Drosophila melanogaster: one gene and its partners. The protein of the gene in region 4 interacts with the protein of the main gene of each other region in a pairwise test. Each region holds a gene or a part of one and is shown on either strand. Other genes may lie near its edges.

The links.
Region 1: the proteins of CG13982 (region 4) and Dpit47 interact in a two-hybrid assay, tested with the Drosophila melanogaster proteins (one large-scale study listed by BioGRID).
Region 2: the proteins of CG13982 (region 4) and CG13287 interact in a two-hybrid assay, tested with the Drosophila melanogaster proteins (one large-scale study listed by BioGRID).
Region 3: the proteins of CG13982 (region 4) and betaTub85D interact in a two-hybrid assay, tested with the Drosophila melanogaster proteins (one large-scale study listed by BioGRID).

Annotation. Positions count from the first base shown.
Region 1 is NT_033778.4:6,658,348-6,665,124, forward strand, and holds Dpit47 (DNA polymerase interacting tpr containing protein of 47kD), read right to left. Parts: upstream 3,772-6,777; 5' UTR 3,582-3,771; coding exon 2,952-3,581; intron 2,895-2,951; coding exon 2,334-2,894; 3' UTR 2,298-2,333; downstream 1-2,297. Other genes in the region: sced (scrambled), read left to right, coding at 1-1,633; Adf1 (Adh transcription factor 1), read left to right, coding at 4,101-4,101, 4,222-4,410. UniProt on the Drosophila melanogaster protein: May act as a co-chaperone for HSP83.
Region 2 is NT_037436.4:5,879,512-5,886,492, reverse strand, and holds CG13287 (uncharacterized protein), read right to left. Parts: upstream 4,190-6,981; 5' UTR 4,087-4,189; coding exon 2,701-4,086; coding exon of another isoform or gene 2,674-2,700; 3' UTR 2,403-2,673; downstream 1-2,402.
Region 3 is NT_033777.3:9,406,663-9,414,233, reverse strand, and holds betaTub85D (beta-Tubulin at 85D), read left to right. Parts: upstream 1-3,951; 5' UTR 3,952-4,181; coding exon 4,182-4,574; intron 4,575-4,633; coding exon 4,634-5,581; 3' UTR 5,582-5,851; downstream 5,852-7,571. Other genes in the region: alpha-Man-IIa (alpha-Mannosidase class II a), read right to left, coding at 1-511, 844-1,373, 1,427-1,540; Task7 (TWIK-related acid-sensitive K[+] channel 7), read left to right, coding at 2,217-2,346, 2,410-2,565, 2,632-2,693, 2,748-3,148, 3,204-3,477; CG44261 (uncharacterized protein), read left to right, coding at 6,089-6,385; CG8135 (uncharacterized protein), read right to left, coding at 6,525-7,112, 7,173-7,571. UniProt on the Drosophila melanogaster protein: Tubulin is the major constituent of microtubules, a cylinder consisting of laterally associated linear protofilaments composed of alpha- and beta-tubulin heterodimers.
Region 4 is NT_033779.5:6,407,343-6,415,835, forward strand, and holds CG13982 (uncharacterized protein), read left to right. Parts: upstream 1-4,972; 5' UTR 4,973-5,361; coding exon 5,362-5,516; intron 5,517-5,838; coding exon 5,839-6,024; intron 6,025-6,080; coding exon 6,081-6,729; 3' UTR 6,730-7,993; downstream 7,994-8,493. Other genes in the region: DIP-epsilon (Dpr-interacting protein epsilon), read right to left, coding at 903-1,041; Tig (tiggrin), read right to left, coding at 8,094-8,156, 8,215-8,493.

The DNA of each region.
Region 1 (6,777 bases), on a different chromosome or scaffold from region 4:
TGCCCCCACGCCGGAGCCTGTGCTTCCGGTAAAGCGCACATCCCAGTTGAACAAGTCTCAGCGTAATAGCTTCTCAAGTCCGGACTTGTCCAAACTCAATCTGCTGGACACCTTTGGAGAATACTTCGAGGCCCAGAACCATGAGTCGAGCATGGAGATAAACATTAGTCTGGATGAGTCGGTCATTGAGCCGATCTCTCGCAATGAGATTATTGCGCAAATATCTAGCCAATTGGGCAAAGCAGACTCTTTGGAAAGTCTGAATGTTTCGGAGCAACTTCCGTACAACTTCAACTTTTCCGCTTGTAACACGTCAACCATCAATCTCATTGGATCGCATGGAGCTGTTCCGCAGAGTAATCAGCTAAAGAAAAATAAGATACTGCACGAAGACCTTACGGGATACTGTGTAATGGCACCCATTTTAAAGGCGACGGTAAAAGATTTGCCACCACAGCCAGGCGGCAGTACAGTGTCCACATCCTCCGGATATTCCACGGGCTCCTACTGCTCCTCCACCAGCAGCTGTAACACGGAGGACCAGCCCACCAAGACGCAGATCGCCAATGAGAGTGACATATACGAAGTCATGCATGGAACCTCTCTGAACAGTACCGTCGGAGCGGCTGCAGCTGGATTTGCGGAACACCTCTACGAGAACCTTTTGGCTGTGAAGGCCGCACAGGAGCTGGAGGCGCAGCCTGTCGGCTTTGGACTGAGCACAAGCACACCCACCGAATCTCCCCTGGCGCCGGCCTTGCCGCAAAAGGGAACGCCCAAGGACAAAACTTTGCAACAGAAGCCAGAGGAGGAAAACTACTACCAGACACCAAGAAAGTCGATTATCAGTGTGGACGACAAGATACCCTCCTATTATCCGAACAGCTGCGACACACTCAAGTCAAAGCGACGCAGTCCCACCGAACATGGACCTAGTTTTAGGCACTTAGTCAGTTCCAAGTTGCGACGTGAACGAAAGGAGAACCTCTACATTTCCTCGCCCCAGCAAATCATTGAGCAGCGTCACAAGGCGGCCACCATCTCATCAGCATCAGTATCAGCCAAGACTAAAAGCTCAACCAAAAAGACTGCCGCCCACAAAATTTCTGACAGTGTTTATGCAGTCACCCATCCGGTAAAGCGTCCGAACAGCACCAATAGCAACAATACCCACCAAAGCAACAATAACAATAACAATGAAGGCGTGGATGACGAACTGCTGCACTTGACCGTTTTGAAGAACATTGACTTTAAGTTTGATGATAGCCAAGCATCTGAGGATTCCTGCAAGGCGAAAGCATCTGCTCTTCCCGTAGCGAACGAATGCTTTGTACAGCCAAATCTGGAGAAGGAGTACGAGGATCGCTTTCAAGCGGCGGAAAAGGCTAGTCGTCTTTTGCAAAAGTATGCGACGCTGGCCAAAATCGGGCATTCGCCCAGCAAGGCGTTGCCCGCACCAGCGCGTCTGGAACCCATGATTCAGTCTGTGGCCACGTCCAATGAGTTGCAGCCCGAGGGAGGCACCATGAAAAAGTTCGCCTCCCTACCACGCTTCAAGAAAATTGACTTTTCGCCGCTGAAGATGAGACTCAATAGTGTCCTCCAGAGAAATCCACCTTCGCCGCAGCACTAAAATGGATTCTCCGTTTTCCGTAACCATGTTTAACACTTCGCTGTGGACACAAACTGCTTTTTAACCATTTCGCTATTTATGTTGTAGTTTCTTGTGAATGTGATCTGATTAGTTCGACAAGTTGATTATTATGTTATCCGAGTATATAATACGCTTTCCCACGATGCACTTAGTATTAAGCCTTATATGTATGGTCATCCTGCTTTGTCAAATGTATTTTAACGAACCATATCCGGATCCACTTGGGGGGTCCCCTAGTATTACTACTGTTGTGAACCAACGATGAATGTCTAAGAATATGCTCAATTATGAAAATTTACAAAAACGCTTTTATACGTATTAAACCAAAAACCACATTGTTGACTCATTTAGGCGCCTTGTTGTTAAAGAAAAACTAAATTTAGCTAAACAATTTTCAATTCTACAGATGATTAATCGTCTACCAAAATGGGCTTACGCCGCATCAGATATTTTTTGGCGGCGTAGCCTGAACTACGCTTTTCGGCTTCGCATAACATATCAGAGATTAGTTAAACTTACAATAAAATGCTTCAAGATAGCATAACCAATGCTGAACTGTACCGTGACTAAACCATAAGCTTACAAATAAAATATGCCACAAAAATGAAGTAAACTTTACAAGCAAATGAAAAGGTGTTTGTTTGTTTTCAAGAAGGAATCACTTTATTTGCTCACTGTCTTAACTGTAAACCATGGGTCGTCGCCGTTCGTTTATAAACTCCTGTTCCACTCGCGAATCCTTGTGCACCACATAGAAGAGCAGAGCGCCACCGGAAACGAAAAACCCCTTTTCGGCGATTATCTCGGCCAGCTGCTTCTCCTCGTCCACCTTGTGGACACAGCCCACCTTGCGGTTCTCGTAGTAAACGTGCACGTTACCCAGGCGGTAGTTGTGTGCCTTGTCGTATGGCAGCTTTTCGGTGAGCAGCGTCGCCAGGCAATCCCGCATGGTGGTGGTCTCCGGCAGCTGCTGATAAAAGTCGCTGTACAGGAACTCGGGGTAGGAGAACGCAGCCGGCCAGATCAGAGTGCTGCCGTCCTCGTCTAGGTGCACCGGATGGTCCTCCAAAGGCAGAAACTTTGGATAAAGGAGCTCCTCACTGAGGACGTCCTTTTTGCCAACTTTTTGATCGTCAAACTTAATGGCGCGCTGCTCGATGGCGTCGCGGAGTCTGTGGAAGCGTGTAAGCCGTCGCTTTGCCTCGGCAGCTTCCTTGCGCTGATTGCGTTCTATCTCGAGCTACGGAAATAACTTGTTTAATGTGGGTTCCTATCCAGTTGGATCACGTATTCTAACCTTCTTCATCTTGTTCTTGTGCAGCAGCGCGATGGCCACCTCGTTGTCGACGTCCACCTCGAGCAGCTCCTCGCACATCTGGGTGCACAGATCGAACCTCTCCAGCTCGTACGCACACTGTGCCGACCGCCAGCGGGCCTTTGTGTAGTCTGGCTTGTAGAACAGAGCTCGCTGGGCGTCGCTCAGCGAGGATCTGTAGTTCTTGATGAAGAAGTGAGCCGCCGAGCGGTTGTTGTAGAGAACGGCTAGCACGTCGGGATTGTCCGTCTTGGTCTTGATGCCCTCGGTAAAGCTGTAGATTGCCATGCGGAACTTCTTGTGCTTCATGTAAAAGTTGCCATCCTCCTTGTAGTTGAGCGCCAGCTCGTCGCGCGTGTTCTCCTCCGGATCGTACTTGAGCTTCTGCAGACCCTCGAACATCGGATGCACGTCATCCCCTGGCTGAGGAGCACGTTTCATGAAGAACGGGTGCTTGTCCATCTCCTCCTGCCAGCGGTCCTCCGGCCAGCCCTCCTCGTAACGTTTCTTCTCCAGGCCATCGATAAACGCATCCAGTTCCGCGTCCAGCTGGGCCGCCAGCTCCAGACGCTCCTCATCCGTCCAGGCTTTTTGTGCCGCCATTTGTTTCATTTGGTCTAATCAGAAACAGTGTGACCGCAGACGAACCGTTACAATATACCAACTGGCCAAAGGTGCCGCACATTTCCTAAAGGTGGCGCCTCTAAAATAAGGGTGGCCCTCCGTCTATCGATAGTCGTACGCTTCCTTCTTTAAACGAGCTAAACTCGGAACGAATTATGATCTTAACATCTTAAATCTTAACATGGTAAAACTTTAAGCCTTTTGACGCTTTACGCAGCTGTTGTGATATATCAGAAACATCGATAGTCGCCATAACATATTGTTATTGTATGAGAGTTTTAAAATTATCGATGCGCTGATGACCCCTTCATCGGCGTTTTCCCACCCCTAATTGGCAGAGACGCGACTGAGCTGGGACGTACCGTTACCGTTGGCAGAGACGCGACTGAGAAATAAAATTAAAACGTCGACGTTCCTTCCTCGTAGAAGAAACCAATCAAAATAAAAACAAACAGAGCGTGCGTTCGCGCCAAATACTTAACAACAATTAGCAAACGTAAGAAGCAAAGTGAGTGTCGTCGGCTGCGGGAGCCCGTGTGCCCAGTTTGGAACTGGGATCCGACCCAGTCCACGTCCGTCTCGTCCCCGCTAAATTTGTAACTCTTGTTTCCCCGTCTTGTCCCCTCAGTGCATACCCTCACGGCGGCCATTGAGATGGACAAGCTGGATGCCAATCTTGAGCAGCAGTTTGATCTCAATCTCATCGAGGCTGTCAAGCTGAACCCAGTGATATACGACAGGTCGCACTACAATTACAAGCACTTTGTGCGCAAGGCCCAGACCTGGAAACAAATCGCCGAAACGCTCGGTGTGCCTGGTAAGTGAAATTCGGCTGGTTTTGGCTACGGGTTTTCTGCTTTCTGTCAGCCGTCTTCGGTCCGTGCCCCAACCAGCCCCAGCCAATTGATTAATTCTGTGCGGGCGCAGGTCGAAGGGGCGGGACAAGTCAGTCGACGACGACGACAGAAAACGACGCAAAAGTGAACGGCGACGCGGCGCAGTAGCTGGCTGATGGTTAGGAAATGGCAGGGGGGGATCTATACGTGTGAGGGTGGGCGCGGGCTGCACCGCTCATAAATTGCATTTTATGCGAACTTTTTTTACTGCATTTATATGGTTGCATTTAGAATACAGTTCATTAGTAATTAAACCTAGGTTAATTTCTATCTGTAAAGATCTGCTCTAAAATGAGCGCCCCTTTCGGGCGCTCGGACTGCGGCCCTGCTTGCTCTGTCGGTGTGCAGACTGTGCTCAGTCGATATTTTTGAAGTTGCTGTACTTTGCCGTCGCGTCGCAGTAGTTGTCTCGCTCGCTCCGCAGCCATTCTGCTTGCGCCAGCGTTTATTTTCGTACACTGCGACTGCGATGTGCGCTGCTCACACACGTATACATGCATACAGCATACAGTGGCAGAAAACAGTTTGGCACGGGTTATAAATACGTATTTATTAGTAAAATAAATAAGTTGCTCAGTTCTTTAGACGAAACTATGGATTTTATTTTAATATTGAATAGGATGAGAATTCGGAAAATTAAAATATAGGGCTTTGGAAAGGTCAATAGATAAGCACAAATTAGAACAGCTGTGTCAACACTTCAGAGTCCCACTGTACATACCGGAGACCGACCAGGCAGCTTTCGTTTCGTTTTCATGAGTATACCAACAAAATGTACCGTTCACCCCACCCCCTCGACGGCCGTTGATCGAACCTTAAATTTTCGGCCAAATCGCTGCACCTCATCCGCTTTCGATTATGCAAGTAGGTGGCTGGAAAGCTGGAGTTGCAGTCAAGTGGAGCCAGCAGCAATGCCACAGGTTTCCGTCTCCTGGCAGCGGGCAGCGGGAGTCGGCGACGTCACAGCCACCGTCACGTCAACGTCTCTGCTGGCGCTGGGAAGCTGCTGTCCGCTGCCTTCCTTCTGCCACCGACGCTGCTGCTGCCAACGGTTTGTTTTGGTTCCCGATTTGATGCTTCTTTGGGTGGGTTTGATGGCATAGTTCTAGTTTCTGCACAGTTCCGGACTACACTAGTCCAGAGCTTCTTGAAGAACCTTCTGTGGAGAACCGCCACGCACAGCTGCGCAGGTGTGCTTGCACCGGTTGTTATGAACAGGTCTTCGAGAAAAAAGCATTTATTCAATGTAACAGAAACAAGATTTTAGTTTATATTAGATTTGTAATATTTTCAGAAACATTTCATTTACTTACGAATCTGGTTTCTTTTTTCTTTTCATTTATAGAGGTATACTTTATCAAGCATTTGACGGGTTACCCTATAAAATAAAATACATACAGTTTGTCAAGAAACTGTTTACACACTGTGAAATAAGTTGAATTTTTGACTTTAAAGCTAAAAATAAAGGGTTTTTTGCTTAATTAAACGCAATTTTTTTTATAAAATATAATTAAACAATATTTATTTTACTTATAAATCAAAAAACAAATTAAAAATATTAAATATACAAGAAAATAAACAACAAATTCCAAGTTTACACACTTTTGAGACTGTCAAGAAACTCTTTACACATTTTGTTTTCCTACTTTGTTTTGTTCTTTTTCTTAGAACGAACTCGATTTTTCCGTTATTTTTGGCTTTGCATTGCTTTTTACAACGCTTCTATTGAAATTTGTTGACTTTGCTTGTGAAATTTTGCTGATCAAACGTGCTTAAAGCGAATTATTAAATTTAATAAAATGCCTGGAAAGAGATTAACTTTTGAAGTTACCCAATTAATAAACTATAACCACCAGTTGGGAAAATCTTTTCCAGAATTAGTATAAATGTTTCCTGTATCCCGTAAGACCGTCTACAATGTTTTAAAAGGCTCGGAAAAAGAGGGCAGGCTTGAACCTAAGAGTGGTGGTGGGCGGAAAACCAAAATTAACAAGCGAGTAGACCGCCTTATCATGCGAAAAGTGATTGCGAACCCCTGAATCTCGGTCAGATCACTTGCTCAGGATATCAGGGAAGAATGTCACCTAACTGTGTCACACGAAACTGTGCGCCAAGTCATCCTACGCCATAGGTACTCTTCAAGAGTTGCAAGAAAAAAGCCTTTGCTATCAGAGATCAATATTGAAAAGCGTCATTCATTCCCTGTGAATGATGGATCATGCGGAAGAGTACTGGGATGACGTCATATTTTGTGACGAAACAAAAATGATGCTCTTTTATAACGACGG
Region 2 (6,981 bases), on a different chromosome or scaffold from region 4:
TGTGGAAATTAAAAACGACCTGGAGCAAGTGGAAATTAAATTGCCTGCAGTTAAAAAACACTTTGCCCAGCCACCAGTCACAGTACCAACAATGTAATAAAAGTCATCTTCTGACACGCCCACTCCACGCGCCCCGTCGGCGATGTTCCCAATCCCGGCTGCTCCAGCAATGGCATTTGCATACTTTTAAGCGCAGATGAGCAGAAATCACTCATACGCACGGGTGGCCCATTAAAGGGGGGTTGACGATGGGGCGGAGCCAAGGCCCACGGCTCACGGTTCAGGCTCAATCCAGCTGTCGGATTTTCTTGCTACCGCTATTATGACGGTATTTGCATTGTGTTTAAACGTATTTGAACACGATTTTCAGTCAAGGGGATTGGATGAGTTGGCTTAGTTTGGGGGTAACCGAAATGAGCAGGCAATTTATTTACGGTCAAATTGCGAGGTTAGGCAAGGCAAACAAAGCGGCGCAGGTCGCTGCGCAATGGGATCCCCCCGGATCTGCCATTGTGGGCGTAAAAATGTGATAAATATGAAATGTGATTATGGCTGCTATTATGTAGCACCCAGCCAGGATGATGATGAGGCTTATTATGGAGTTGCCTTCGTGTTGGCGAATCTGTGGTCGCCCTCGGCGTCGTTTTGAGTGAGTGGCTGCCATGGAACTGTCTGTCTTGCCATTCTGGATGCGGTGGCTTCCTTGGGTAAATGAAATGGGGAAATGTGATTTTGACGATGTGTTCGCTTTACGGCAATGGAAGTTCATATGGGTGGCGCTTGTTTGTTTTCGAGGGCGTCGGAAGTTGTAATTGTTTTTTAAAGGAAGCCTGAATTGCTCATTGGGGAAATGCACGAAATAAATCAAGACGAGTGACTATAAACGGGATATCTCGGAATGGGCGGTAAAATAAAACTTGAATTGTCTTCAAATTTTTTGCCTCAGCCAGGATTTTGGCAAAAAGAACTGAGCTAGTGAGATGTCTGTTAAAATCAAGACAATACTTGCGGCATCATGAAAATTATTACCATTATTATTAGGAACTTAGATTAGAAATGTTGATAGATTTGCACACGTTATTACTCCAATATTATTGATAATAAGCTTTTATTTTAGGTGTTGCTCCTTACAGGCTTACCACCTTGTACCCCAAGTCCTTTTATCTCTTCACCTTAATGCTCCACACCAATTTGCTTACATTAACTTTCCCAGCAATTGTTTTCCACCCCCCACTCCAGCCATGTGAAAGGAGCTTGGAAAATGTCTTTATCAAGTGGCAAGCAGCGAACACAAAGCCATAAAATGCTAATCCCATCATGGGAACAATGAGCAGAGCGGATCGGAGCAGAGCGTTTGCCGTTTAGCGATGCCATCAATTGATACATCAGTCGATAAGGCAGGAAGACGTCCTGTGAGAATCCTGGCTGGCTGCTTGGCTTCTGTGGCACGGGGCTAACAGGATTTGGCCACGCTAAATCAACGCAATTCGATGTGGCTCATTTGAGTGCAGCAACGAGCCAAGGAAATCGCTGGGGGAGCAGCCACCACCCAAGGAATTCGTTGCGCTTTGTAGGAATTTGCTACGCTACAAATTCGAGGCTCATGGGAACTGAATTCCGGAGGGTTGGCAAGTGTGGAAATATTGAAATTCGAAATACATTTTTGCCAAAAACTGCACTAGTACTCCGCGATGATGGGTTATCCTGGAAGCTCGTCGTATTCGTCGCGCCGTCTAAACGAATGACTGCCTTTTTTGGGCGCAGGACAACCCCGAAGTATCCTTTCATCTTGTTACAATTTCGGTTCCCAGCTCATTAGCGTCGGCGTCGCAGTTTTTGTGGCCGCATCTAATTGCTGCATGCGGCCAAAATGAATACTGCTGAATCGCAACTACAGAATTCACTGCCTCACTGCGCTAATAAGTTGAACATATTCTTCGCTCTACTAACATGGCGTATGTTACTTTTGGTACCCGCGAAAATCTGGTGCTTTTTCTGGTCCTGGGAGCCTATGTTTTCGGTCTACCTCACAATCGAAATAATGGGTTGTCCGGCCAGGAATTCAAAGAACTCCATATGCTGCCAAATCAAGATATCTTCGTCTTCTAGAATCCCTGGTTTGGGATTCTTTTTTTCAAAAATTAATTGAATTTTAAGCTCGGTTGTCTTTTGGGATTTCTTATTAAGGTGGCGTCTATATAAGCTTAATCACATTATTTCGAAAGCATAGACAACTCATTGGCTTTTGTTTAAGCTTTTCAAAAATATTTGATTGCAATAATCCTCAAGCTCATTTTCATAACATGATTTTAGAATACTTCAGATCTACTACAAGATAAAATTTCCCATTAACCCAAATTTTATTAATAAAACGTGATTACTATTGAATTGGCATAACAATTAGATTTTTATTGAAACATTCAGCCACACATTGAATTTGCAACTTAGCCATAATATCTTACAATGATGAAACTGAAGATCCTTTCGGGTCCTTCGATAAGAAAGATAATTAATTGAGATACAGGGAGATCCAGTTACATATTTAAGATACAAATTGCACTACATTTAAAGCTAAGGGGAAATTAAATCGGAGCGTGGGGGAAACTAAAGTTAATATCACAATCGAAAATGGGCAACGGGTTTTGTTTTTGGGGAGTTAGTTGACTTGATGACTTAAAAATATCCGAAGAAATGCTTCGATCATTTGGGCATACCACCCATTCGGCGACCTGGCGGTGTGCCGCCGACCACGTTGATGATCTCGTTGTCACCGGCAGATGAGGATGAGTCCTCCAGCTGCGGCTGGTGATCACTGGCCTTGTCCTGGTGGGCGGTCATGTGTCGCGTTAGATGGTGTCGCTCCCTGAAAGTCTCCTGGCAGACGGGACATCGGAGTTTCTCCTCCCGCTTCCGTCGATTTGGATCGCAGGCCACTTCGCTTTTGTGATGGGATCGCATGTGATACACCAGATCACTGGTCATCCGGAAACTTATGTTGCACTTGGCGCACACATTCTGAGCGGTCAGTGTAAAAGTGGATGCCAATGTGGGTGGAATCAACGTGGAGAGAATGGCTGCTGCAGCGGGATTCTGGAGAGGTTGGGATACCGCGAATGGATGTGGTGGCGGAGCAAATCCGGGATAGGCATGCAGGAACTCCGACGGTGGACCCGGTGGTGAGTTTGCCTGCATAGTAGGTCCTCCTCCATTGGGATTTCCAGGTCCTGGTGGACGGGTGTACAACAACTGCTGCTTAAGGCGCTGCTGTGCCTGCAGAGCCTGCATGGGATTCACCGCCTGGAAGGCTCCGTTGAACTGATACTCCGGTCGGAAGTTGTGGTAGACTATGGGATTTGCTGGCAGGGGATTTGGATTCTGGCCACCGCTATTGGTTCTTGGTGGAGGTGTCACCAATGGTGGACTTATCGAGTGACAGCTTAGCTGATCGGGACTCAAGGGCGGAGCTCCCGCATCCACGGGTGATTCCAAACGTGAAGTGGTCGATGGTGAGGATGATGAAGTGGACAGCGACGAGGAGGCTACTTTGGTAAAAGCGCTGCGCATGGGCGGTGGTGGTGAAGAAGTTGATGGTGCCTCTGGAGAATCCACCAGGGGTATGACCACACTGGGATCATCATAAACCCGCGGCGAACGGATGCTGATCTGTGGATACCGCTGGCGTGCCTCCAACAGACTAATGTACTCCAGTGCCGCCGGCGAAGGTGGTTGCGAGGAGGTTCCTCGAGGAGACAAATCTGTGGGATAGTGGCTCATCTGCTGCTGCTGCTGTTGGTGGTGATGATGGTGCAGTGCCTCTTGAAGGCGAGCCTGCTTCTCGGCCTGCTTTTGCTTAATCCGTTCATCGGGCATCATGAGGAAGGCCACATCGAAGGCGCGTTTAAGAGTGGTCTTTCCACCCGGTGGCGATGTGGGTGTCTCATTGTTGTTATTGTGATTAGTGGTTTGATTTTGCTGCGGTGACTGTTGCGGTGATGTGGAGATCCTAAGCTCGGCGTGCTGAGGCGGCGTTGGGCGACGCTGGCCAGGATTCGCGTGCGACGGCATGCTATCCATGAGCAGATTCATTTTCACTTCAATACACTTTTCGACTTTCACTTGGCTCTGGTAGGGACTTTGGGTCTTTGGTTCTATACAGTTCCTTGCGATTCGAAATTCCAGTTTCGACTGCTGGCCGCCCGCAATCTGTTCCTCTTTAAGTACCCGCTGCCACAACCACCGCGTCCAGTTGGAATTCTCGTATTCTCATATTGTCCCATTCAATTGGGAAAAAGCAACTCTCCGCACTCGCGGCACTTGGCCCATCTGTCCTGATTCTGCTCGGAGTCTGTTCAGATTCAGGTCCTGCAGAGAGCACCACCCTTATGTTCCTGCTCTTGCTCTTTCACTCCCGCTTGTCCTCTCTTTCTCCAGCGGTCTTCTCTCTCTTTCTTTGGCCCACTCTCCGTCTCTCCAGCGTTCCATCTGCTTTGCCAGTTGGCGAACATATTCTGTGGTTTTATTGTGCGAGTCCTAGCCAGGACGACTCCTGGTTGGCTAGCATTCACGGACAGGTTGGCTTGTTCGAAAACCTTGTTGTGCTGTATGTGATGCATTGGTACAATGGGCAATGTTGTTGTTAAAGTTGTGTGATATTATTTAAAAAACTTAATTGATTAAACTTAGAAGGATTTGAAACTAGGGTCATCTATATGAGAAGTTACTCTTATTCATTCAAAAGAGTTGAATATCTTGAAGTAGTTGCGCTTAAACTTCATTAGGTAAATGTTTTCAAATATTTTACAATAAATAAAACTTTTTCGCATGGTTTCCATTTAGATTTTTACCAAAACATTATATTTTACTAAATTATTTTCCCTGTTCCGCCCACTGTGCACTCATCTCTTTTCGCAAGGAGGCGGTGCTTGATCCTGGCCGCTCTCTCGCTTGCTCTCTCTCTCGATTTGCCTCTCACACCCACCCCGAAAATATGGCAGGACCTGCCCTCTCTGTCTGGCTCTATGCCCGTCTCTGTCGGTGGTGATGTCCTTGTTGCAAGTGTTTCCGAACAGGTTGTTTTTGTCGATTTTTTAGCAGTTCCAGCGAGATTGTGTGAATATGTGGCCATGTTTTGTGCTGGTGTATTTGTTGCGTTTGTTGCTGCTGGCTTGGATTTTGAGTATATGCTGCGCGTAGCTTTTACATATTGCCAACTACACACACACACACACACACACACGCTCTGGAATTGGGGTTCCCCCGTTTTGTAGGCGACTGTTGAGCGTCGAAATCTTTCAACATACCGAAATATTTATTTGTCAGTTAAGTTAGCGCTATGTGGAAAAAGTGGCAAGTGCCCAGTAAATATGCACATGCAACAATAGCAAATTGTGCAATGCCTTCCGTTCGTTTTCCGTCTCGTTCTGATCCCCCGTTTATTTCCCTTTTTTCCGGCTAGACCCTAGATCCTGGCAGACCGGATGCAAGGATGTGGCCATTGCCAGGACAAAATATGTGTCTGTTATGGTCAGTCGTGAACAGGGTTTGCAGCTATGGGGTGTATGTATATTTTATTTAAATTTTCGACTCTTTTGTTGCACTTTTTGCTTGCAGCCATGTGGCTGCAGCAGCGGCAATTTAATGTTTGCATATTTTCAGGTGCTAATTGTTCCACTTGCCATATGAGTTGCATTTTTAATTAATATTTATAGCCAACAGCCGAGTGTGCGAGTGTGCGTGTGTGTGTGTATGGGTGCATTTGAGTATCTGTGTGCTGGAGCCTATAATTCGCATGGTCGCCATGTTGGCTGTCGACGAAATTAATATTAAACACATGATTGCCTTCCAACATGGCCATTTCATTAAAAATATTGTTTAGCTTGTATTTAATTAATTGCCGATCGAACAATGCAAGCTCAACCCATGGGCTGATGTGATTTTAAATTGATAAATAAAATGGGATATTCAAATGTTTGGTGCAGTTGATGCTTAAAGCTTATGGAAAATCATTTTAAAATATATAAGAATTAATTGGGTTACCCAAGCCTATTAAATGCTGGAGTCTGAGTAAGTTAAACTATATCTGATCAGTTATCTTATCTTACATCGGACCAATTTCCTCAATATATTACTTATTGTCACATCTCACCAGAAATTACCCCCATTTCAATTGGACTCTCACATATGTGACACGTGTGCACAATTGAAGTCAAGTGAAAATCCCGAACACATTCTCAGTTCATTGCAGTAAATATTTTCAGCGCAAACTAATGAAAATCTCCGATATACAAATCGAGCACAAAATTTCCACTAAACCCAAAGGCTTATCTACCCCTGCTGATCTCGCTCTATTGCTAACTAGATGATTTTGTCTTGTCACTGAGCCAGGGGATGGAACTTTAGGTGGGTTGGTTGTTTGGTTTAGCGCCTGTCGATACATCAAACTGCCAAGTGACAAAGTGATTGCCCCGTTGTCAGGCCGAGACAAAGCGCAAAAAGGCGTGAAATTGCCTTTGTGTGATTAAGTCGAGACCGAAGGAAATGCGAGCAAAAGCGAGGAAATGTCCCAGGAAGCAAATTAAAAACTAAGATGGCAATCTCTCGACTCAAGTTTAGACACAGCTACGTGCTCCTTATGCCCGGGCATAGCATCCTCGCCGGGTTTCAATTATCCTTGGTAAGATAGCAAAATGTAAATGCTAATTGCTTCAAGTTTAGCGTAGAGCTGGCTACGTTTATTCCGGAGACAGCAGACACCTTTTCCGTGGAGATTGTGGCCTCGGTTGATGTTAATGTGCTGCCTGTCTCCCGTAATCTTTGTGTTTTGTGTGGAAATCCTGGAGGAAACAGCTTCTTGCTGCCTGGAGATCTAAGCGAACTAAGTGCACAGAAAAGTAAAATTGTCGAACTTCTGCATGTTAAATTTCAAGTTCAAACAAAAAGATATACATAATATTATTAATACCTTTAATTGTGTTTTATAAC
Region 3 (7,571 bases), on a different chromosome or scaffold from region 4:
CTGATCAACCAGCAGATCTGAGCGTGCTGCCACATTTTGATCACTGATTGTACGCGGCGGCACCTTCCATGGACAGCTCAAACCGAAGGAGCCCATTCGTTTGAAATCGAACTGACAGCAAACCTTGGGATCTGGACCACAGGTGTGAGGAATGTCGTACGAGTAGAAGGGCATCATGTGGGTGAAGAGAGCTGTGTCCCCTTTGTTGTCCCAGATCTGGCGCCACAGGAACTCAAGCTGTCGCTGTTGGGCCAGTTCCTTCTTAACCGAATAGTGCGTCCTTTGGATAAGCATATTCTTGAAACCACTCTTCTGCAAAATGTACGGCATAGTGGGACTGTGTCCGAAGGGATCGATGGCCCAGGAAGCAGTGGGTGTGACATTCATGAATTGCTTCAACCATGTTTGCCCTTCGGTCAGCTGCAGCAGTACGTTTCGCCAGTGGGAGTTGGCCTCGTCCGGCATTACCCATCCTCCAGTCACAAATTCCAACTGTCCATTCTTTACAATGCTGTAAATAAGTAAATAATTTATTATTTTTTGTTAAAAACTAAATATTGTAGTTGTTGAGACTGCAAAGCTTATCAATTCCTATTTCTGCTTTGGGTTATAAATATTAGGTAGATAAGTACAAAGCTGTTTCGGAAAACAAGCAGCGTGATCATGCATTTTGTTTATCTAAACGCTTTTGACGCAATAACGAAGTAAAATATTTCACTGCTGCACATAACAACTGTGTAAGGTTTATGGAATGCAATAGCAAAATGGCATTGCACTTTGTTTTGTGGGTTAACTACCGTTATTCATTATTGTATCAATACTATATAGGGAAAGCATGCTTACGACTTCATCTGCAGCTTTTTGTTCTCTCCCAAATCGTGATAGAACCGAGCAAAGTAGGAGATTTCCGCCCAGATGAACTTCATCTCGGGATTGTCGTGCAGATGCCGTAGTGCATTGGACAGGATGTGCTTGGTGTCGTGCTGGTAGTATTCCTCAAACGTCTGAATCCATCCAGGATCGTTGTGCGAGTGCGGCACAACGAAGACTTTTAGTTTGTGATGGGCGTTGTACTTCAGTGGATCGTACTTAATGTTCCAGCCCTGTTTCCACACGCCTCCATCTATGTCCTTGAAGGACATGCGATCGTATAGCTCCAGCATCTGTACATCCACATTGGGCACGTCTTGGACCACATCTTGGCATTGCCCTGGCCTCGGGGAACGAGCCACTTTAAGTGGAGGTCTTATTGGATCGTCGCGATTGGATGTTTCGGCAAGACGCGCCCTGAGATTCCGCATCTCCTCCCCGTGCTCCTGCAAACCATTTTCCAGCTCATGCAGCTTGTTCTCAATGTTCTCATAGTTGGGCTGCTAAAATAAAGAAGTTATTATACATTCGAATTGATTTAGAAGCATTTATTTACCTTTATCTGGGTGGCTGCCGGCGCCGCAAAATTGAGGATTATGTACAGGCTGAGGAAAACCAGCAGGCAGCCGGAGCAAATTACCAAAGCGAACCGCCGACGTATTCGCAACATTTTCCGGTTAATTAAGCATGGAAACGTCGACGTCAGAGACACAGCAGCCAACTGCAACAATCCAATCGGTTGGAACTTGCGTGGTTTTTTTTTAGCATAAACAAATCAGATCTGGCGATATGTTTGCTTTTCCCGAAAATCGATAGGCTGTCAAGTTATCGGCGCTGCTAACTGCAAAATGTTAAATTGTTAAAATGGCTTAGAAAGACAAAAACTTTAAAGGCAATTAAAGAAAATGTAATAAAACTCTTATGTTGTTTGTGTATATTGATCCTTTAAAAAAATTATTATTATCCTTAGTTATCGTGACATTACAGCTTTTTAGCTGTACAGAGTTAACAGATACCGCCAAGTGGCAACGCCATCAAATTCTGTTGCTTCTGTTGTGATAAACTAACGGTAAAATCACAATCCTTTATTGAGATTAACGGTCAAATCAATAGATAAAAGAAAACTTATTACATATTTAAAGAATGATGAAATTTTTAAAATTCATTGTATCATATGTTATTCGGCCACTGTAACCGAAATCAACCATTTTTGGCGGATGCTGTGTGTTTGTTTTGCTGACAACTATCGATTTTGTCAGACGCAGCATCTTTAACTGAACGAAAAAGGCGCGTGGTGCAAAATATATTAATTGATTATAGATCGTAGTGATTATATTTGAGACTATATGATGAAGCGACAGAATGTCCGTACCCTTTCCCTGGTGGTATGCACTTTCACCTATCTTTTAATTGGAGCCGCCGTGTTCGATTCCCTGGAGTCACCAACGGAGGCCAAAAGATGGGAATTCCTACAGAGTGAGAAGCTTGTTGATTTATTAACCTAATTTCTTAGTAATGAATTTATTTAATCAATTGTAGCCGTTAAGAACAACTTTGTTAGAAAGTACAATGTGACTGACGAGGATTTCCGTGTGATGGAAATCGTCATCATTGAAAATAAGCCCCACAAGGCCGGACCTCAGTGGAAATTCGCTGGAGCTTTCTATTTCAGCACGGTTGTACTGGCAATGATAGGTAAATTAATTATCTATTAAATATGATTTATTGAATAGATTATAATTCTGTTGTAACTTTCTTTAGGATATGGTCATTCTACGCCAGTTACAATTCCGGGAAAAGCATTTTGTATGGGCTATGCTATGGTAAGTGAACTTACAATCCCAATTTCCAGTCTTCTAAAGATATTCCCTTATTAGGTGGGCATCCCGCTGGGTCTGGTGATGTTCCAGTCTATCGGAGAACGTCTGAATAAGTTTGCATCCGTGATAATAAGGCGGGCAAAGAGAGCCAGTGGAGCTCGCTGTACGGATGCCACCGAAATGAATCTCATGTTGGCCACCGGAATGCTCTCCTCCATAATAATCACCACTGGAGCAGCAGTCTTTTCCCGATACGAGGGTTGGAGCTACTTCGATAGCTTCTACTATTGTTTTGTCACCTTGACGACAATTGGTTTCGGCGATTATGTGGCATTGCAGAACGACCAAGCTCTAACTAATAAGCCTGGCTATGTGGCGCTGAGCTTGGTCTTCATCCTATTCGGCTTGGCCGTGGTGGCCGCCAGTATCAATCTATTGGTGCTCCGATTCATGACCATGTGAGTCCATGTTCTATTGCAGGAAATATCTTATTTAATGGATTTTTAATCACAGGCAAGCAGAGGATGCCAAGAGAGATGAGCAGGATGCTCAGAACTTGGCTGGAAATGCCCAGCCGGTGACCTTCGATGATGAGTCCACGTACAATATGCACGGCAAGCTGCTGGAGAACAACTACACAACGGAGAACGATGAGACCGCCTCCCTGTGTTCCTGCACCTGCATGGGTGGCACCAGGTGCCTGAATCATGAGCAGTTCGTGGACCCGGACTTTCAGCCTACCGACATTATCGAGAGCACCTTGTGCCTGAAGCGAGCCTCCGTCTGATATCCGTACAGCCAGCTGTGGGACTCCTCATTGTAGGAGCCAGAGCCAATGGATCACCAAATCGTAGTTACAATCCTGTAGAGAACCATCCGCCGCCAAAATTTGGTTGTTAGACAAACCTTCCTCCCTACGTAGATTTTTAAACCAGGATGGGTCATAATACATATAAGTTTGGAGAGCAAGGTTAATAGTCTTTAAAAGGCAGTTTTTGCTTAAGAAATAATCGACCCATCCCATTATACACCCATATAAACATTTACAAAGGAGTAAAATCCAGGACATCCATGTCAATATCAATCGTATCATCTGGTCGGTAGCCTTGGAATCCTCTATTGCTTCCAAGGCACCGCCAAATCCATCCCATCTCGAATTTTAGCCGTATATTCGTTTATCTATGTAAGTACTATTAAAGTTTGTGCTCAAAACGGAGAACTGAGTTTTCTGAAATCGGGGTGTGTGAAATGTGTCGAAGTCGGAAATCGTAGTAGCCTATTTGTGAACATTCGGTGTAGTAATCCAAGCCAGGTTCAGTTCACCTCAGTATCAGCTAGCACGTACACGACTAAAATCTAAACCTGAAAAATTATACGTTTAAATATTCAGTCTTTTGCCGATTTTTGCCCCACTCAGACTGTTTTAAAAGCTCGATTTTTTTTTGTACCATTTTTTCGGTGTGAAAAAGGGGCCCTAACTTTACTATCAAAATGCGTGAAATTGTACACATTCAGGCCGGTCAATGCGGTAACCAGATCGGTGGTAAATTCTGGGAGGTAATCTCGGATGAGCACTGTATAGATGCGACCGGAACGTACTACGGCGATAGTGATCTCCAGCTGGAGCGCATCAATGTATACTACAATGAAGCCACCGGTGCCAAGTATGTGCCACGCGCAATTCTCGTGGACCTGGAGCCCGGCACCATGGATTCGGTTCGTTCTGGCGCCTTTGGCCAGATCTTCCGGCCGGACAATTTTGTGTTTGGCCAATCGGGAGCAGGCAACAACTGGGCCAAGGGTCATTACACCGAGGGTGCTGAACTGGTGGATTCCGTCTTGGATGTGGTGCGAAAGGAGTCCGAGGGATGCGATTGCCTTCAGGTAAGTTTTGGGGGTTTGGGAATTTATCTGAAAAAGTTTACCCTACTTTTCTCCAACAGGGCTTCCAGCTGACCCACTCGCTGGGTGGCGGCACTGGCTCCGGCATGGGAACCCTGCTGATCTCGAAGATCCGCGAGGAGTACCCGGACCGCATCATGAACACCTTCTCGGTGGTGCCCTCGCCCAAGGTGTCCGATACGGTGGTGGAGCCCTACAATGCCACCCTGAGTGTGCATCAGCTGGTGGAGAACACCGATGAGACGTACTGCATCGACAACGAGGCGTTGTATGACATCTGCTTCCGCACACTGAAGCTGACCACGCCCACCTACGGTGACCTGAACCATCTGGTTTCGGCCACCATGTCTGGTGTGACGACCTGCCTGCGCTTCCCTGGCCAGCTGAACGCTGATCTTCGCAAGCTGGCCGTGAACATGGTACCCTTCCCCCGGCTGCACTTCTTCATGCCCGGATTCGCACCGCTCACCTCGCGAGGATCGCAACAATACCGGGCCCTTACCGTTCCGGAGCTGACCCAGCAGATGTTCGATGCCAAGAACATGATGGCTGCGTGCGATCCGCGACATGGTCGCTATCTGACCGTCGCCGCCATCTTCCGTGGCCGCATGTCCATGAAGGAGGTGGACGAGCAGATGCTCAACATTCAGAACAAGAACAGCAGCTTCTTCGTGGAATGGATCCCGAATAACTGCAAGACAGCGGTGTGCGATATTCCGCCCAGAGGTCTCAAGATGTCGGCCACCTTCATTGGCAACTCCACCGCCATTCAGGAGCTATTCAAACGGGTTTCGGAGCAGTTCACCGCCATGTTCCGAAGGAAGGCCTTCTTGCATTGGTACACCGGCGAGGGAATGGACGAAATGGAATTCACAGAGGCCGAGAGCAACATGAACGACTTGGTTTCTGAATATCAGCAGTACCAGGAGGCGACTGCCGATGAGGAGGGCGAATTCGATGAAGACGAAGAGGGTGGCGGCGATGAATAATAGGATTAACTTCCCACTCAAGATCACACATGAACACCAAAACAGGCTAGCAGGGGAACCCATTAGGAAGGCACAACACATTGGATCTTTGGGCCTTAGCATATTGTGCTTCGAGGCCCGTCGGTTGTACATATTTCCTATATGGATTCTTCACTGTTCGATTATTTATCATTCACACACGTACAGAAGAAATATGTCCACCTTTGTTAAGCTCATGTTGCAATTGCTGTGATTTCTGGGTTACGAATAAATGTTGATTTATAAGCAGACAAGATTACCAACAGCATTTTGCATATTTTTATACCGTTCAAAAGGCATTGCATAAACCTAAACATTAATATATAAATATTCTGGATTGAATTGAATTTGAGGCTAAGCGCTCAATATCGAAAATCTATATTTTGTTGGCAATCATTTTTTAGAGTTGCCTTACGAAAGTGACAGCTTTCCTTTCTGACAGGCCGTCATCATTCAAGTCATTCAAGTCATTGAAGTCAAGGCACCAAGATGTATTTTCCGACTACTCCAGTTACCTCTCGCAGTGGCTATCTGCGCGGCCGAAAGCGCATAAATCCGCATCCCATATCGCAACTGCAGAGTGGAAAACCGACGTCGGAAGACGACCAGGATAGCACAAATGTTGATCTAGAAGAATCAATCAGCTCAAGCTACTCATCGGAGACGGACATCTCGATGAACGTGGAGGCGCAGGACACCAGCACGGATAGTGGTCTGGACACTAGCCAGGAGAGCAGCAACGAACCGCGCTACTCCCTTCGAAAGATGGATAAGAATCCTCTTTAGTGGTTTATTCAACTGAATGGTCTACATGGGTGTAAAGGAACAGCAGCAGCAGCAGTGGCATCGGGAAATACTTAAGCGCGAGCGAAATATTGAGATACTCGGTAACGAATTGAAATAAAGAGTTATCCATATCCAAAGTCTAGACATCGTCGAAGAGTCCTCGGGGTGGTGGGCCGACAATTCGACCATCTGTCTCCGCCTCGTAGTCGGGGTCTCGGAATCCCACCTGCACCTGAGTGCTCACACCGAAACGGTCGTTGATCTCCTCCGACAGGGATCGCGGTACGCCCAGTGCAGAGGAAGAAGCCACTGCCGCATAGTCAAAGCTGCCGTCGCCATCGCGCAGCAGCCCGTCGGCGGGCGTGCGACTACTGGTTAGTCCACCGGGTCCACCACTCCGGTATTTGCTCAAGTAATCGCTGCCCAGAACCTGATCGGTTCGGTTGAAGTCACGGCGTCTGGCCATCGCCTCCTCGGCACGCTGGCGGCGGCGCTTTTCCCGCGCTATAAGATCCTTTCCCTCCTGCACCAGTTCGGTAGCAATAGTTTCGTTTTGCAGGAACTGCTGGAAGCCGAGAGCATTCAGTGCCCGACTGCCGAGGCTAAACCAAGTGGCCAGACAGAAGGCCAGCATACACATTGGGAAGTAGATATTGAAGCCGTTCGAGATGATGCCAATAACATCCATGTGGCCCATGATCTGCGTGTACACCGTCTCCATAATGCGCTGAGGAATAGTTTATAAATTTTCAGTAATTCAGTGTTTACGAACATGTTTACTACTCACGTTGGGAATAATGTGTGTGTCCATATGGATGAGACCCAGGAAGTTGAGGCACATGGGTGGTGTCAGACGGCACAGCAGCATGCCGCTGAAGATCAGACTGTGCTCGTTGGTCTGGTGATGCGGTGCCAGGTAGTAGAGATTAAGGAAGCGTATCCTCAAGATCGTGGAGTAAGTGCAGTAGAAGAAGTAGCATAGAACAACCATAGAGAAGACTTCAATAGTAAAGAAGTCGTAGCTCTCCTTGGCCACGTAGATAACGTTGGCGAATATGGAAAGCACAGGGTGGCGACTGAAGAAGGTAAGCTCGCTCCACACCACCATGGCCGACATGGTGGCGGTCAGAACGCACATGGTCTTGAGGAACGGAGCCTTTAGCAGGCACTCCCAGTACCACTGCAG
Region 4 (8,493 bases):
TTATTTAAGTGCCCTCATAATTGTTAACAACAATAACAACAAATATAATAAAATCCAAACAAAAGGCAGCTGCAAGTGAAATGAGCAATTATTAAGCCATGAAAATTTTAAGCCAACAACAACACGCGTCATAATAAAGTTATTATTCCAATGAAAGTCCCACCAGCGGGTGGTTCTGGGGTATTTAAAGTGGGAAAGGAAGTATGCTACGTAAAATACTGAGCAATGAAAATATTAATAACGTTAATGAAAATTACATTTGCAGGCCGCAAACTTGAGGAGCAGATTGTGCAGATTTATTCGACTATTTGTTCTTTTACATTTTTTCGCGCTCCTTTTGAGAGCATTTCGAATCAAACGAGGCGTTTTATGTTTAATGCATTTTCATTCTTAAATGATATGTTTACATGATATGGTCGAGTTCAGTCAAATCACACAACCCCCAGCAATAATATTATACACTAAAAGTAATAAATAGGTGGACCATGCTATTTACCATAAAACCCTTATTATTATAAGTAAATAGCGCAGAATATCTGATTATGATAAAAATCGAATTGTTTACATCATTTAAAATTACAATCATCATTATTTACCATTAATTGAATAAAGCTTAGTGCACCAATATTTTACTTTTCCGGATAAATTACAAATTGAAAAGAGAATGATGATTGCACATATTAAGTCCATTTATTTGATTAATACAAATACTTATTATTATCGTTCCCTGCATTTAAAAACCCCAAAAAAGAGCAATCTGCAGCAAACATTTTAACTATATTGTTTGCTATAGAATGAAGTATAATTTTAAACAGAATTTTTTGGTTTTCCTTTCGTGATACAATAAGTATAATTATAATAAAGGACATAACATTAATTTCCTAAATATTATTTTTACTCACCATTATTTAGGGTTGAGCCACCGACGTTACCGGCGTTGCCTTCACTTCCAGTATCTGTACTTAGTGCCACAGAGGAGGCAATCAGGCAACCAAGGCCCACATACAGAAACGAAGAAATCGCTTCGAGGTGGTATGCCATTTTGCTGTAAGTTTGATGCCCCTTTTTTTTACCGTTGTTTAGCTTTTCAATTAAGAAAACTTAATTATTTATTGCGTACAAATATTGTGCAGCATTACAGTATATTCCGGCTCATGTTGTGTTTGCTTTTGGAATCGATCAACGTTTAATTGCGATTGGCTTTTATGCACGCTACCCCTGAAATATGAGGAGAAATTATAGGTTGCCATTATTGATGAAAATATTAATAAAAAAAAGAAATTATACATGGCTTCATGCTTTTAGGCTTAAGTGTACATTTAATTTGTCATTGCTCAATTTTCCATTTACCGCAAGGAATGAGACCTGTTTTCGTGTTACACGGCTATCCCATACCCTTTACACGGCTTATTGATTACAACCGTACTTAATCATATCTTATAAACTTTAATCTAAGCTTTCAAATTTATAATAGTTGAAGAGATTTTGTATATCATACATACGGACAGACGAGCGGACACACCATTTTTTATGCTTAAGATTTTTATGAGCCATTTTAACCAGACCCACACCTGGCTTGCATCTTTTTCACGGATTAAGGAGTTTTCAATAAAGAGGATCAGCATTAGGAAGATATCAGAGCAGTGACGAACCCTAAGTCTCCGAACGACCTCAAATCCGTTCAAATGCCAGGGACAACGTTATCGTCACCATCAGAATTATCAGCTTCCTTTTCGTGGTTGTTTTGCTGCATGCATGCATAGAAGAATTTTTTCCTTGTTTTTAATTCCTGCTCGTGTCATAAGCGAAAAGCAATTTGCTCTGTCAGCTGTTGTTTTACACTCCGGCTACGGCAGTCAAGTAAACCCATGGAGGTCCTTCCAGTCTCGTCAATTTCTTCATTCTATTGCAATATGAATGCATTTCAATTAGAATGCCTCCTTGGGGACAGCTGTTGTGGATTTTCCATTAAGTAAGGGTTATTGAAACCGAATTGCAAACTTAATTGATTTCTAAGCCGGCCGACTTAACATTCATTTTGGTTGTGATATCTAAACAAAGATTTTGAACGTTATGCTGAGGAAGATTTTAGTGAACCATTGACATCTTATAAGATTCAATTTTGTTTCTTATAAAATGTGTTTTTTAGATTTAAGCGTTAATGACCCAAAGTTCACCTGATTGATAAGCAACCAACTGATGGTCAAAAATATATGTATTATTGTATGAATGACATAAATACGTGATAGTTTGGTACACCAAAATGTATTGTCTGGTGTATTTTCACGCGACGACGATTGTTGCATCCATAGAACTAACCGCGAAATGTAAATGGACCGTGAATTCGTAATGCATTTAAATCATTGTAAACAGCAATGTTTGTGCCCCGCAGACAGAAAGGATATTTCCCACATCTTCGAAGTGATGTAGCCGCATGATGAAAAGGAGCCAGCGGTGAATGCTCCGCCGGTCTGACTTCTGCTCTGTCTTTCCGTCTCCTAGGGAGCATTTACTCGCTTTTGCATAATAAATCAATTTACATTTCCTTTCACACGCAAAAATGAATAACGAATAATAGCAACAAGCCCGTGGCGCAGAAATCTTCTATCGTATTCTTCGGGTAAAAGTACGTATAGCATGAGAAAGGAGTGCTTCCTTTCTGCACTATAATCACACCGAACCGAATCAATCAATCAAAATGAAATTAATTATTTAATTATAATTATTATTTCTTTTCTTTTCCACAGCACAGGGAATTCAACCAAGTGCTTGTGTCACCCAAAGGATTCGATCTTTAGAGCTAACTTTTTAATGACGATTGTGTTTATTTATTACTGAAGTGAACATAAAACTTCAATTTCACACTAACCGCAAACAGCGCATCGTAAATTCGTATTACCTCTTAAAACGATTTCATTCCACGGTATATTAATCTTTTCGATCGGACAATCATTGCAGATTTCTGCACGTTTGTTTACATATATAGTAGCCGGCTTTTGCACTTCGGTGCACATTGCCACCACGTAGACGGCCGTCAGGAAGATATATAAATATCTGAGTCAGACTGTGCCGCGGGAACTGGAAACGCACAATTTAAGTTGGAAATAAAGACAGAGGATGGTTTAATTTAAACAAGTAGATATTGGTCTTTACGAGGATGCCATTGGCCATGTAAATAATAATAATAATTTGCTACGCATTTAGTACTTAGTTTCATAAATGAAACAAAAAGAAAATTAAATTTGAAGTTAGATTTGCATACAATTCGCATTATTTTGAAAGCCGGCTAATGAAACATTCAAAGTGCAATCAATTGCCTGCACAGCTTCTCCCAGCAGATGTAAACCAATTCGGAAGGATCCTTTGTAAAAGATGCAGCTCCCTAAACAGGCCATCCTGCGAACTCACTATTCAATGATGCCCCATCTGCAACTTCGTTCTCCTCCATCCGATGTCGCCCTGCTTCCAGAAACTAATAACTCACCGTGGCAATGTCTGGCTGCTGGATGGGGCGTCAGATGTCGGCAGGAATCAGCAAATCAATTTATAAATAGAGCAGCGAGACAACATAACAACGGATTTTCATGTTTCCCTCTGCCGTTCTCCGTTTTTGCAACATAACTAAATTAGGGGACCACGCGGCAGACACACAGACGCCGTCACAAAGCCAGCAGCTCCTCCGGTGGGCAGCGGAGGTGCATAAATGGCATGGGATATCGAATAAAAGCACTCACAGCAGTTGATTTACAACAACCATTCGCCGCCACTAATGCCAATCGAAAATACTATTTTAAACTATTTGGCCAGTGCAAATAAGAAAGACCACGTCCACGCACGTCTAACGAAACCGATTCTGGTTCTGATACCGTTACCGATTCGGGTTCGGGATTCAAAAGCGATTGCGACTGCGACTGCGAATACTGATGCGGATGCGGTACCGCAGACTAACGACAACCGAACGAAACGACAGCCGATTTCACACTGGCAGCAGCATCCCGTCGTGCGATTCACTTCGGCTGCGGCATGTTAAAAAGATAAACAAATGTTGCGGTTGGCCGTGATTTATGTTAGCTTACATATGTTTATAGCCCTGGCTGCAGAGCCAAACAGCACTTTCTGCTACTAACAGCCCCGAAAACAGCGAACAATCAATCCAACGATCCGCCGAGTGTTTTAATGCACCACTCCACTATCCGTTCCGTCAGCTAATGCGGCGGGTTAAATTTTATGTTCATCATGTGAGAGAAAAAATGTGAGAAAAGCCAAAGGTCGCAGAATTTCCAGTATTAGTATGTGCATATGTGAGCTAAATAAAGAAACGTATTATTTCTTTCTGAACATAATAGAGCAGGGCGTATCACTTGTGTAAGCATTTTTGAGTTATCCCTCAAAACTCCCTCATCTGTCTTACAGTGAAAACATGTTTTTCATCTTCGCTAATCATTGAACATTTGTTACTTGGTCTTTGAGCGGGCATAATGGAATAATAGCTTAGCACTTTAACACATTTACAGCTAGGGACTGCAAACGCATTTCCAAGTTCTGTGACCATAAATGTCAGAGTTCAAAAGGCAAGACTTCTTTAGCTTGCTGTTAACATCGCTATCTTAAGAAGAGGATGCTGCAATACAAACTTCATTAAAGAGAAATTTATAAAAGAACTTGGTTTCTTTGCTCTACATTTCCCTTTATAACCCCTAACAAAGCTCACACAATTTGGTCCTACAAGCCTTAACATTTCCCATTTTACACCCCAAGCAAAGCTTCATCATGTCGGTCCTGCAATACCCTAACATTTCCCGTTATTACCCCTGATAAAGCTACTGCTAGTCGAAAGCGCTCCGTGCCGTGAATTTATTAACTTTGAGCGTCCGTCTAAGCTTTAAGTAGTGACGAAAGCTCCTGTCACAAGACGCTTTGCTCTCCTGTTGACTTTAGCCACTTGACAGCGCAAAACGCGAAAGCCACAACACTCAGTCGAAACAGCTGACTCTCAAAAGGTGGCCACCACCCACCACCCAACTGCTGCAGGGCCAAACAGAAACTCCGTCACTAGGCTTACGGAGCATTTAGCCAAGAAAGCGTGGGGGCGTCACCGTCACTCACTGACGTCGACGCACTCGGCGCATGAAAAACAGTTACGCTCTGTGCCGCGGAGTGTGTGGAGTTGCGTTGAAAGGGGCTCCGGAGTCCAAAAGGGTAATCGGAAAGCCCACGGGAAGGGGCCATCACCGCGGAGCCTTGACCCGAGCGTAATGAAATGTGGCGCCTGGCTGGCGAAAAAGTGACGTGAAATGCCAAGTGCAGCCGCATCGAAGCCAGCAAGGATCTTGTAGCAGCGACAGGAGCAGCCCCTTCTCCATGGGTTCATGCCTTGGCAGCTGTGCCACAGCTGCCGCCGCACCAGCCCACTCCGCCTGCACCTCAACGTCCGACTCCACCACCCACTCGACTTCCTCGACGTCGTCTTCACTGACAACTCCCCCCACGTCCTGGGTGGCCAACAGCTGGCTCTGGTGAGTGGGGCCAATTAGTTGAAGCTCAACTCCGCTGACTTTCGTTCGCGCGCAAATCCGCTGACCAATCAATAGTGGCTAAGCACGGGGTGGAATTGGCTAGTTGGGGGTCAACAGCCTAAAACTATGCAACGGCCGCTGGTTGCCACAAAACAATGTGCCACAGGCGGGCTTCCCGCCCAAGTGGGTGCTTACTGCAACCAAATACGTAAACAGTAAATACTAGTTATATGTGATATTCTTTAAGAGTTAACAAAAGCTTTTACTTTATAATAATTATTAAAAACATCTTTAATAAAAAGTGGTATCTTTCATCTTCTAGGCGAAAGAACAGATCTGCAGGAAGACAAGATCCAGAGGCAGATCTCTTATCGAGGACCACCAGGCAGCGCTGCCAACGGAACGGATTCATCTACCGCATCCTGCGGCTCAAGAAAAGGCAGCAGTGTCCCAGCTTCCTGGACAAGTACTGGGAGCAGCAGCCCAGCTACGCCAAGCTGCCGACCACGTATGTTAAGTCTCCTAAGGTGCCTCCTAGAAATAAAACCAACTTAATCCTTGCAGCGCCATGGCGGACATTCAAATGCAGAACCTGGACGCCGGCAAGTTGCTCAACGCCCAGACCACGCCCAGTCGGGAGACGGAGATGGGACTTGGAGCCTACCAGCGCATGGCCAACTCGCGGGCCAGCTCCTCCTTGGATCTCGAGTGGGAACACGAGTACTCACAGCTGCGGCAGTATCAGTACCAGTGCCAGCAGGTGCCCAAGGAGCTGCCACCAACGCCACCAAAGCCGCGCTACGCATCCTTAGACCAGCTGGCGGCAGCCAATGCGATGGCCACCAGCCAAGGACGACACATGGCGCGCCAAGCCAGACTGAGTTGCCAGCGCCACGGAGGTTCGCTCACGCGGAACTCGTGCTGTTCGTCTACGCAAAACTCCTGGTCGCACATATCCACGCCAGAGTCGCTGGAATGGGACGTGGACGAGGAGCGAGAGCAGCAGCGTCAGCTTCGTCTGGAGGATGACAATCTGGATGATAGAACGCTCAAGTTGCTGCATCAGATCGAGCAATTGAAGCACCATGTACTGCAGGAGACTGGCGATGGACTCAGCATGGAATCAGCTGCGGTCGAGGAGCTCACCGAGGGCCTTCAGTTCCGGGCAACGCACTTCGCTGGCGACTCCCAGCTGGAGGCCCATGTAAGTTGATTGGAATCACTTTAAGACGACCTATCATGCACATAGTATTAGGTTAAGAGGTGTACATAGCAGACTTAATGAGCAGTTGTAGTTTCCTGTAAAGAGCACGTCTTTGAAAGACACATTGAAATCCGTTTCCGTTTTAATTGGCCAGGAATACTGGCCATCTGAGTCTTATTAATTTTGGCTGACCAGTTTTCCTATCTTAAAGACTTTATCTGTAAACTAATGTTCCAGTCTATTCTATGCACTTATGCTTATTAATCAAGGGATCAAAGTTTAAATCATTAAAAAACACGGTCTGAAGTAAATATATTTAGTTTGAATTGTCATTTTCTATTTTTTAATTTTGCGCCAATTTCTATTATTTTAAATATTGATTTGTTTAGGTTTGTAAAAATGTCGTATAAAATATGCAATTAATCGAAGTTTTTAGTTAATGAAGAAAGGACTTGCAATAGATAAGCATAAGAACAAAAGAGATATATCTTATTTCATTACATATTGCACCTGGTATAAGACACATAGGTTAATAAGTTATGAAATTTAAGTGCCTAGCCTAAGTCCGATCCGAGTTCAAAAGTTTAAGTACTCCAATAATATCCTAAACTCAAAATGATTCCTACAAAAAAAAAACAGATATATCAAGCAAACAGTTTGCATTATTAGCCACACAGATAACTCAATTCTATACCTATTTATATATATGTGAACTTTAAGGGCTTGAAAATGATTTTTATTGCAAAGATTTATACCAAAACATTTAGTTTTAGTGAAAAATGCAATATATTTACTTTCTGCTCCAAAATTGTGCTTTTTGGATTAAATCCGAATCAAAAATGTAAATGCGTTCGATATAGTAAGAGCTTATCAGAGCACTATATAAGTGACTTCGTTAAATTTTTAAAAATAGTCTATAGAATCGCACCTACTTGAAAATTATAGTACTTAAGCTACTTTAAACTTTATAGACCAGATGCCCTTAGCCTCCTTTTTAATTGGTAAATAACACAAAAACCACTCTATCTTTTTATCAGTGTAATATCTGCTATATTGTGTTAAGTTTTTGTTGATAGTTTCTTGGAAAACGTAGAGAAAAATATTTTGTAAATTTTTAAGTTTAACTGATACCAAAGATTTATTTTGAAACTTGAATGTTACTCTCCATAGACTACATACTAGTATTTAAGTACGTTCACTATTTTCGCTGCACAGTAAATGTCATTTATTTGTGTCTTAAACTAAGAGGATTAAAGAAAGATTTGTAGAAAATATTAAGATTTGTATTAGTTGAGAGTTTCCTCTCGGGTAGTAACTTTTTAGTTCTGACTAACAACAGTCCGTTGATGAATGGCAGTTAATTGGTTTGACCTCTAGCCGAGCTTCTCCTTTAGCTTTTCCCAGAACGACGGCTCTGAAGTGGCTTCCACCTCCACCTGTTGGAAGAGTACCATCATTGAGTTTCCAATGTCAAATCCCCTCGTGAATGCTTACCTTCGTTGCTTGCTGCAGAGGTTGACTCCTGCTGTTGCTGCTGCTGCTGTGACCCTGCGTCTGGTCGAAGTGGAGGTCATCCTCGACCTGAACCTGCTGCTGCTGGCCGAGATCCTCTGCCTGCTGGTTCCAGTCCGTGTCCTCGACTTGCGTCTGCTGTCCAAGGTCCTCTAGCTTTTCGTTCCATCCCAGCTCCTCAATTTGCTGCTGCTGGCCGAGATCCACTTCCTGTTGCAATGGCTCGTCCCCAGAAGCCCGGTTCCACTTTCCTAAGCTTGC